Linked DNA regions of Arabidopsis thaliana. The protein of the gene in region 2 purifies or fractionates together with the protein of the main gene of each other region. This does not show direct contact. Each region holds a gene or a part of one and is shown on either strand. Other genes may lie near its edges.

Region 1 (3,173 bases), on a different chromosome or scaffold from region 2:
TAAAATAATTCACAATATTCAATCAACAATTTGTAAAACTCAAATCAAATCTATTGTTATTGGAAAAAATACTACTTTTTTTATAATAAGCTGCTGAAAGTGATTCCAAGAGATATTTTTTACCTTTTTTCTTAAGGAAAAGAGTTTTTTTTTACCTTTTTAGTTGAAAAATATGACTTTAAAAATATGACCCATCTCTGCAACTAACCTCAATTAACAAAATATCGCATCATTGCTTCACCAAGGAACTACATAAAGAGTTAGTGATATCTCATAGGGATTCACATACCAGAAGAAATTTGTATATGATCACGTAGATTAGGCAAAATTTTCAGATACAAAACGTTAGTTCTTTTAAGACGTTAAAAAAGGGTTAAAAAAAACAGTGCTACAAATTGTTGATATTGTCCTCAAAAAAGAGTTTTTTCTGGCTTCATGACATTCTATGCCAAAAATTGGTGTGACGTGAAAGAAAATTATATTTTTAAAAACAAATTATTGTATTAGCTAATAGTGACTCAAGAACAATATTAATGATATTCAATTTGAATTTACAACTAGAGACATAGTTCGATATATAAGAAATTAAACAATGGATTTGGAAGAGTTTTATAGCTTTTGTCAAGGAAAAGCTCAAACGCAAAAAGCCCTAGCTAATTGTGACAAAAGCAATTCCTTTTACTTTGTCTTTGCCAAAACTTCCGCTACTCACAGAAGTTGGAGACACAATCACTGTGGAATTTGAGGTTTCTTCGCGTTCCGTTTACGTCGTGCCTTTCTGCTAAGCGGCGATGGCGTAACACCTTGTGAGCTTTCGCTACTAGGAGAAGTATCGTCCTTGGAAACCTCAGAATTGATACCATCATCAGAGATCTTGCAATCCTCGATATCTGTCTTGGCCGTCACGTTTTCCTCCTCAGCTACCTCCTTACGTGCCTAGGAAGGAAAATATTAGGTTTAGTTTTACTATAATACGATGCGGGCATGCGGCTAAAACCCTAAAGAAAATTACGTGGGATAACTTTTGCTGTTTCTTGTTCTTAGCAGGGGGGCTGGTCTCTTCTGAAATGGCTGCAGAAGGAGGAGGAATGCGGAGCTTTACGAGCTCATCGATAAGGGCGGAGACGATTGGCTTTGAACGGAGGGTGTCTTCTTGTTCCTTGTTTAGTGTTTTCCCCTGAGAAATCGACTCTTCCATGTCAGTTATACGGTTGTATTTCTTGCGGAGAGTACGGAGACGTTTGCTGATGAGAGCCGAGATTTGTCCTTCTACGGCGGCCATGATGTCAAGATGAGCGATGAGAACGTCTGAGATAGATAACCACGGCGGAGAAAGAGAACAAGAAAGTAAGTAAGGGTTTTGTTTTCCTTAGAATATGGGATGGGATACAACTTAGAACTACATACATATATATAGTGGAGACTTTAGGTCTCTATATTAGTTATTGACAAATGTTTAGTGTATCTCTATAATATATTTTGGATCGTCCTAGATCTTTGTATAGTTATTTCCATATATCATAATTGCATCTTTTCCATATCTTTGTGAATTTAAACATTTTTTATTAATGTTAAACTTATTATGGTCTACCTTTAACTGTAAAATTTCTTAAAATAAGAAAAACAAAAAAATGTATGTGGTTTTAAATTTTTTTTTTTTGTCAACTTTTATGTATGTGTTTGTTCAAAGCTTTACAGTAGTTCAAGGTTTATACCCATGCGACCCGTGTATTTTTTAACATAATTTTAGATCATTATAGATATTTGTACAGTTATTTTCATATATAATAATTGCATCTTCTTCTTCCATATCTTTGCGAATTAATTATTTTTGTTATGAGTTATAAAATTTATTAAAATAATAAAATCTTTATTTTTTATTTTTTTTTATGTTTTTTAAAAGATTTACAATAGTTACTATGTTTAGACTAGATCCATGCGACACGTGTTTTTTATTATATTTTTGGTAAATATTTTATTAGACCATTAATATTCATTGAAGTATTATATTTTATATATCAGAATTGTAATAATATACATTTAATGATATATAATAAAACTATAGCATCTTTAATATCTTAAATGTTGAAATTACATATGAGACCATTATTTTAATTAATATAAATACGCAGTTCAGAAAAACTTTAGTAGGGTAAATCTAGAAAATGAATTGATTATCACAACAATAATCTATAATTTCTATATTGTGATAGATTTTTTTTGTTAATATATAAGATGTTTTAATATGAATAGTTAATAATTTTTAGTTTTTCTTTGTAATATTCATGATAGTTATATATCTAGGGGTGTGAAAATGGATAACTTAATTCAACTAAACTCATTTTTGTTTTCATGAAATGTTAAATTTATCTGATAAAAAGAAAGAGAGTTTATGAACAAAAGCATGGAAACTATTTAAGAAAAAGAGTAAGAACTAAAACAAGATTATGTGATTCCCCTAGCTTGAAACCATTTTTGGAAAAGTAGTCTCAAATTCAGAGAGTCTCGATAGCGAAGTGAAACTACGCATCGTCAAACCGTTTTTGTCAATTATACTAATCAATTGAGTCACCATACGTTGAGTAGCTCCATGCCGCCGGTAGTTTCACTCCCTCCACAAAAAGTAAATTGTTGCTTGGAATGCTAAACGGAGAAGGATGTGGCTAAGCTAGTCTCTGTTTTTATTGAACTATTGTAATGTTTGTTCCCAATCCGGGTCGGGTTGAGCGTCTAGCAAATTCCCGACAATGTCGCTCCAAATTGTGAACGTGTATCGGCGCACGAAGAATAAGTGATCCCATGACTCATCTAGTTCTCGGCAAAAGAGGCATGGTTGATTACCTAATGGGTTTAGAGTTCATGAGTTAACGCGATTCATTTAACAACTAAGTTGGATTAACCCAAAACCCCATTTAATTTGATGGGTTAAATGATTAAATAGATTGACGCATTAAAGTAATAATTAACATAAAAATAATGACAATGCATCTTCATCATCATTAACACTACCATTATCATCATACTTTTAAGATCATAACATTATCATCATCACTATCAACATAACATATACTTTTGGGCGAGAAAATATATGTTCATGTTGTTTGAGGATTTGCAATTTTGGTGAAAAAAATTATATTCACGATTTTTGTGAAAAAGTTACGGATTTAAGTTTT
Region 2 (3,760 bases):
GAACAAAGGCTTTTGAGACAACAGTTCAGCCATAATGCAACCCACTGACCACATATCAACTGCTGTAGAGTACTCTTTTGCTCCTAGAAGAAGTTCAGGTGGCCTGTACCACTGGGTAATAACCATCTGGGTGTAAGGCTTGATAGGGCTCCCATACTGGCGCGCCATCCCAAAATCACATATTTTTAACTCCCCACAATTGTTCATCAGAAGATTAGATGGCTTCAGATCCCTGTGGATAATCCAATTTGTGTGGAGGTATTTCAAACCATCCAACAGCTGCATCATCAAGCACTTGACTTCGCTAGTGCTAAAAGGTTCCTTCCTTCTATCCATTACTCCCCTCAGGTCGTGTTCTAAGTGTTCCATGACCATATAAACATCATTATCGTTTTTCCCTCCAACCACAACCTCCTTCACGTTCACAATCGCAGGGTGATTGCATGACAAAAGTATGTTAATTTCCCTCAATGATGTCAAAGGGAATCCATACTCTTCTTCGAACCTATCTTCCTTCATCTTGATCTTTTTGAGCGCAACAATCTCTTTTGTTTTCTCATCCCTTGCTTTGTAAACAATTCCATATGTTCCTTCATTTATCTTGTTTAGCTTCTGAAATTCATTCACAGACCTGCTCCCAAACATCATGTTCATCTCTCCCGGAGTTAAAGAATCTTGATCTTCATGTTCTAACTCATCATGATCAGAACTATAATACTCACGACCAGAATTTCCATCTGCACTAAGCTTCTCTACGCTGAGATGTCCACTGCCAGATCCAGACGAATAGCACTGCTGTTCTTCAGACACCATTACTTCCTCGCACTCCGGTGTCAAACTGCTCCTGTTCCATCTATTAGTCTTGGAAACGTTAACAGATATTAACTCCTCCTTTGGGGAAGTCAAACCTGTCCCCCACCTAGATGTCTTTATATTTGGTTCCTGCATCACTTGTTCTTCCTCCAACAGACCCTCCTTTACATCCTCCTGCATCACCTGTTCTTCCTCCAACTGACCCTCCTCCAAATCATCAACAGGATGTTTCACAGCCAGCAGGGCTTCTGAAGGCTGCACTGGAGCAAGATAACTAGGTTCTGGCGACATCAAGGCATTCACTTGATCGTTTGAAGTAGTCTTACCAGCAACAGCCTGATTGGATATCACAGTTGTAGTCGGAACAGGGAAAGGAGACTTGGTCTTCTCCCTAGATGGAGCTCTACCCACTTTTTCTGCATTCCACACGATGGGTGAAAACTTCCTCCTTTTCTCAGAGGGTCTCTGAACCTCTGCTTCCTCCCGTAGTTCCCCTTTCTCATATGCCAACCGTGATCGGTGACGCCCATCATTCCTCCTGAGATCATGGTCACTAGGCCTTTTGATTTGACGCCTCTCGTCATCTCTACCACTCTGTCGAACATACACATCACGAGAACCATTCCTGTAAAAGTCGTAGTCTTTTTTGACAGCAACGGAACTTCTGGAAACATCAACACCCCCTGCTGCCATCGTATTCTTCTCAATGAGAAATTGATCTTATAGAAATAAAAAAGGATAAAACAAACAAACCCCTCGAAAAAAACCAATCAACGAAACCCAGAATCAAATCACGAGAAGCAGATTTCAATAGATGTTCAATTACTTTTCAACAATTGAACTAGAAAGACGATCAATCAACCAATTAAGAAAAACACCCTTGACGAAATCAGAATCAGAATAATTCAGAAAAAAACGAAACCCTAGAAATTCAATTTCCAGGAACGCGATAATTTTTCTCCTTCCTCTTCTCCGATTCACAAGTACCGGAAGGTCTTACCGGACGGTGAATACGAAAACGGAAGATTGGATGGAGGAGGAGATCGATCTACGAGCCCGATGCGATCGCGAGAAGCTTTTCTCTAAATTTTCCTCTCGGAGACGCGTTTTTCAATTTTGTCAAGTGGCTCTATTATTACTTTACCCTTTGTTTTATAATCGTAATAGGTCGGCTGCTCCAATAATTCCCTTTTCTATTTCACAGATTTATCTAATGTTTGCGGGTGTACCAAAAGAACGTGAGCTACGTATTACAGCCGTTGGATCTAATTAATGAACACGAAACTAGTCGTTTATTGTTTGGACGGTGACGGTGACGAATGACGATGCTATAAATAATAATACTCACGTTGTTAATCGAACGGTCAATATTACATTAAATCTTGTGTAGTAAGAATGTAAGCTACATTTCGTCTGAACCGGTAATTAGATCCCATTTTCACTGAAAACCGACACAATAATATATGAACCAGCCGGTTATCTCAAAGTTTTGATGCATTGCCATCCACAGCGATTTTAGTAAGCTCCCGACGCAGAATCTTGCCAGCAGGATTTTTTGGGATTGCATTTATAAAAGCAACTCGTCTTACCTTCTTGTACGGAGTAACCTACACACAAATAGTTACATAAGCAAACCAAAACATCAAATCTAATTGTTCTGTCTACTTGTACTAAAAATTAATATAACCAACATTCTAGAGCAATGAGCATTACTTGTTTAGCTACGAAATCAATGATTTGCGCTTCGTTGAGATTGCTTCCTGGTTTTCTCACTATGAAAGCCATTGGAATCTCTCCTGCATCCTCGTCAGGGAACCTTGAATTCATGATCCATGTCAGTATCAGAAACACATTTCAAGAAGTTACAAATTTGAGTTTAAAAGACTCACGGAACAACTGCAGCATCAATCACATCTGGATTCGAGTGAAGAATCTGCTCCAACTCTACCGGTGGAACCTATAAGATGACGCTTTTGATTAATATTAAACTCTAAAGACTATATCTTCTTCTTCTGACTCGTAAAATTTACCTGATAAGCCTTGTATTTGATTAGCTCCTTTAGCCGATCAACAATATATAGAAAATCTTCCGAATCAAAATAACAGAGATCACCAGTCTTTAACCACCCTTCTTTGTCTACTGTCTCCGCACTCGCTTTCTCGTTTCCCACATAACCTGTGCCCATTAATCACAGGTTTATAGTCACATCAATGATCAAAATCTTGATGAAGACATTAGACTTCAAGGATCATGAAATCCGACTGAGTCCTAGATTTCTTCTTATATGCTAAGTCATTTAGTGAAAGCTCTTGAATGTTCCTCAAACTATTGCATTTGTTACACAGTCCTAGATTCTTCTATGCAAAGTCACAAGTCTCGATTTAATTTGACACAGTCCTAGATTCTTATATGCAAAGTCACATTAATGGTCAAAGTCTTGATATAATTTGACAGTCCTAGATTCTTATATGCAAAGTCATTTAGTTTACACCAGCTCAGCACATTGCATGTTCCTCAACTATTGCATATGTTTTATGATACCTTTCATGATGACTGGTCCTCGGAGCCAGAGTTCACCAGTTTTTCCCGGTGGCAAGGATTCTCCGGTGGATGGATCAACAATTTTGGCTTCCATATTCTCAGAGATACGACCAACTGAGCCATATTTTACCATCTCTTCAGGTCCAAACGTTGAGGCAGCTGGTCCCGAGCTCTCTGTCAAGCCATAGCCCTGTAAGCCATCACCAAACCAGAAAGTTAAAAGTCATATAAATGATTCAAAATCTTGATGAAAACCAAGTATCATGAAACTGGACACAGTCCTATATACAAAGTCATATTTTGACACTAACTGTCTTATCAGTTATTACCTGTACAATATCTACATCTGGGAATTTCTGCTTAAACCTCTCTGCGATGTCTTTGCCGAGTGGAGCTCCTCCGCAG
Region 3 (3,760 bases), on a different chromosome or scaffold from region 2:
TCTAATAGTCTTTATTGGAAAATTTAATATATCATTTGACTTCGAAATTATCATAAATCCGTTTTTTGTTTTGCCAGCATATTTACACGTGTTCTAATTAATTTTTATCATTATAGAGAAATATAAATGTTACCTAAACACGCTATATGCCTATTACCTATACAGTATACACCAAGACAACAACTTTAAAATAAAAATGGTTTTATTTTGAATATAATTTTAGTAGTATATTTATTCAGTGAGAAAATTAAATTTATTTCTAATGTTTGAATATTTAAAACTGTAGAAAATAAAATAAAGATATTGAAACTTATGATGGTGTCGTCTTCGTTATCACAGTACAATTTGCAATGAACAATGGGTTTTGTGATTTTCGCTATGATATTTCTACCTCCAGCAGTTTATTCAGTGCCAGATAATAGACAGAACTTATCAGTAGCAAAAGGAACCTGATCGATCAGCAGATCATAGATAGGTATTCATAAGAAGTTGCCATCGTATGACACGGTCACGCTTTACTGAGTTAAATTTTATTTCTTTTGTCATCACTTTTAAATAATATTTATAACTCTTTTCTTGTGACGACAACCTATATGAATCAGAAATGTAACGAATGGTATTGTGGGAACCAGGTGTTGCTGCGTTGGTGCTTACGTGAGTTCGTGGACTTCACATCGCCGACCAAATCCGAGTTCATTTTTCCTTACAATAATTCCAGTTCTTTCTATAATATTATTTCCAAAGTTATATCCAAATTTGGTTTTCTACCTTCTATATATAATTCTTTTTATCATGTTTTCTAAATGGAATATTCTTTTCTACACTAAAATCCAAATCACTAATAACATCATATATATATTCACATTAGTTTAGTTTTAATGAAATGTACACTATTTGAAAATCATCTAGTAAACACTACCCTAGTAACTGATATAAATAACTATCGACAATTTGCCACCAAATTAAAACTACCTTTTTCTTATAACCAACATATTAATTGGTGCATGTAGATGTTGATGTTATATAAAAATGACTAAGAAAAAAGATGTAATATCAACAAAAGAATATACATGTTTGAAATCGACTTGTGATTTGGACTAACAAAACAAATAGTTATCGAGTAAAAGTAAAACTAAGTCTTGTTGAATAGCTTATTATATGGGTTGCTATCATTTGATTATCTCAAGGAAGTGCTATTTATTTAACCCTATCCATAAGCACAAGGAAGAAACACATAAGCGAAAGTCACTACTAACTTCAAACGACTCTTTACAATCTATAAGAAAAGAAGAAATAGTTTTCTAGGTATGACTACGTAATTACTGAGTATATATTATACTTTGAAATTAAATTTATTCAAAATAAGGCTTTTAATTAATTTAACTTGTAACTTTTCATAGAAGCTACTGTTCATATTTTCTTTGCTAGTCTTAGGTCTATTATATTATTGACTCACAACTTAAAAACTAGAAAAAAATTGTATAAATAATAATTACAATTCAGGGCAATTTTGCTTAAGAACTAGACAAATGCAAGGTAGTATGAATTAAGTTGCAACCAATTGCAATGAAACAAACAAAATTTAACATATTTCTTCAAATTACTATTATATTTTTTTAAAAACTTTAGAATGTAAAGACATTAAATTGTAAACAAATAACAATTTTTTTCCTGTTTTATCATCTAGTTTTAGGAGTTTGTCTTACATTTGAAGATTAAAAAAAATATCCAAAAATTAAAAGCAATATCATATAGCAATCTCGCATTGTTTTGGACTCATTGCACAATAATTTTAGTTATTGGGCCTTTAGTAATAGATAAACGATCCAATTTATAACTACGTCGTTTTAAAAATATAACATCCCAACTGGGTTCTGATTCGGTGGATCCAAGTTCGGGTTGCAATTCGATTCAGAATCAAACCATTTTTGAAGAACCCTAAAAGTTCTCTTCTTCCCCCAAATTTGAATTTGTTCTTGCAATCGGATTCGAAATCCGAAAGTCTTAGTCTCGAATTTGAGCTCAACAGTTTCTTATGGCTCCGAAGAAGTCTGAAGGAATCGCTTTGCTTTCCGTTTACAGTGATGAAGATGACGAAGAGATGGAAGACGCCGAGGAAGAGGAAGAAGAGGATGAGAAGCAGAGAAATCAGGAAGAGAGTGAAAAAATAATTGAAGAAGATCAGGTAGAAGAAGCGAATTATATGGATGAAGAAGAGAAAGGAAGAGGAGGAGAAGATTCTAGAACGCCGAGGCTATTAGATGGTGTTGGAGCTTCTTCTAGTGCTCATGGGACTCCTCGTTCACTTGATAACGATGAATCATCGAGACCTGATTGGAGTAATCGAATGATTGGTGAGTCTGGAGTTGCGGATGGTGAGAGAGGTGATGATGCTTCAGGGGAAAGTAGTGATACGTTATTGGATCAGTTTCTTCCGCCAAGACCGAGAGAGAGGTGCTCTGAGGAGCTGCAAGTAAGTTTCCTGATGATGCTTCAATGTTCTAATTTTAAAAGTTTAGGTAGGCAAGAACTCATTGGTGTGTTGTTTGGAAATAGCAGTCTTCTAAACTGATTAGTTTGTGATTCTAAGCTGATTACTCATTGCTCTGAGGAGCTGCAAGTAAGTTTCCTGATGATGCTTCAATGTTATTTTGAAACATTAGGTAGGCAAGAACTCATTGGTGTGTTGTGTGGGGTCTCTTGGTACGTATGGTTGGAAATAGCAGTCTTCTAAGCTGATTAGTTTGTGATTCAGTTACAAGTTGGTCTGATATGTATTTTTTTTTGTTGTGTTTGTAGAGGAAAATAGATAAGTTTCTGAGCTTGAAAAAGATGGGGAAGAGTTTCAATTCAGAAGTGAGGAATAGGAAGGAATACAGGAATCCTGACTTCCTATTGCATGCTGTATCTTACCAAGACATTGACCAGATTGGTTCGTGTTTCAGTAAAGATGTATTTGATCCCAGTGGATATGACCCAAGTGACTTCTGTGATGCAATAGGTAACTCCACCTTTTTGTAGCTTCTTCGTTTTTTTCTTCTCTTTTCTTGTTTACTCTTGTCTCAGTAAGAAGCATCTTTGATATCTTTTGCTTATAATTTTGATACTCTGTTCAGTATCATGCACTCATTATTACTTTAGTAAATTATTGATGCTGGTCACTATTATTACTATATTCTGCGTTCTCCATATTTCATGATTTGTAATGATCCTTGTTTATGTGTTAATTACAGAAATCGACATGAAGAATGAGAGGGAAAGGAAGGAACAAGAAAGCAAGAAGAACCAGAAGCTTGACTTTGTTTCTGCTGGTACTCAACCTGGGGCGGTTTTCGCTGCTCAAAAGCCTAACATCCCCATTCCAGGTGTGTGAAAATGACTAGGTGTCTGATTGGTTAGTTATTTATCTCAGCTACATCTCTGCAAAATATGATGAATTTTTTTTCAGGTATTCCAGCTTTAGCTACTAGTGGATTGCCTTCCATACCAACCGAAATTGCTGCTCGTGATGGTAGACCGAACAAGAAATCCAAATGGGATAAGGTTTGTTATCAGATTTAAATATCTAGAATGTGACTATATGATGATTTTGGCATACTTAGTTCTTCGCTTATTTCATTTTATGTGTTTATGGTTAAATCAGGTTGATGGGGACGTAAAGAATCCTCCTCTAGCAGCTGGAACTCAGGATTCTATATCCTCAATCCGGTCTAATGCAGCTCTTGTATCTGCTACAAGTGCTGGTTCTGGATACTCAGCT

The links.
Region 1: the proteins of AT5G63370 (region 2) and AT3G24690 purify together in Arabidopsis thaliana (affinity purification with mass spectrometry, with the first as the bait; one large-scale study listed by BioGRID). This does not show direct contact.
Region 3: the proteins of AT5G63370 (region 2) and AT1G29220 purify together in Arabidopsis thaliana (affinity purification with mass spectrometry, with the first as the bait; one large-scale study listed by BioGRID). This does not show direct contact.

Annotation. Positions count from the first base shown.
Region 1 is NC_003074.8:9,018,847-9,022,019, reverse strand, and holds AT3G24690 (uncharacterized protein), read right to left. Parts: upstream 1,370-3,173; 5' UTR 1,283-1,369; coding exon 1,013-1,282; intron 937-1,012; coding exon 730-936; 3' UTR 529-729; downstream 1-528.
Region 2 is NC_003076.8:25,385,287-25,389,046, forward strand, and holds the start of AT5G63370 (Protein kinase superfamily protein), read right to left. Parts: upstream 1,976-3,760; 5' UTR 1,507-1,975; coding exon 1-1,506. Other genes in the region: AT5G63380 (AMP-dependent synthetase and ligase family protein), read right to left, coding at 2,295-2,420, 2,527-2,629, 2,703-2,770, 2,844-2,989, 3,356-3,545, 3,685-3,760. UniProt on the Arabidopsis thaliana protein: Cyclin-dependent kinase involved in pre-mRNA splicing. Required for the correct splicing of the sixth intron of CALS5 pre-mRNA. May stabilize the binding of U1 snRNP to this rare type of intron with a GC 5'SS.
Region 3 is NC_003070.9:10,210,847-10,214,606, reverse strand, and holds the start of AT1G29220 (transcriptional regulator family protein), read left to right. Parts: upstream 1-1,884; 5' UTR 1,885-2,035; coding exon 2,036-2,473; intron 2,474-2,667; coding exon 2,668-2,703; intron 2,704-2,799; coding exon 2,800-3,001; intron 3,002-3,233; coding exon 3,234-3,365; intron 3,366-3,448; coding exon 3,449-3,543; intron 3,544-3,643; coding exon 3,644-3,760.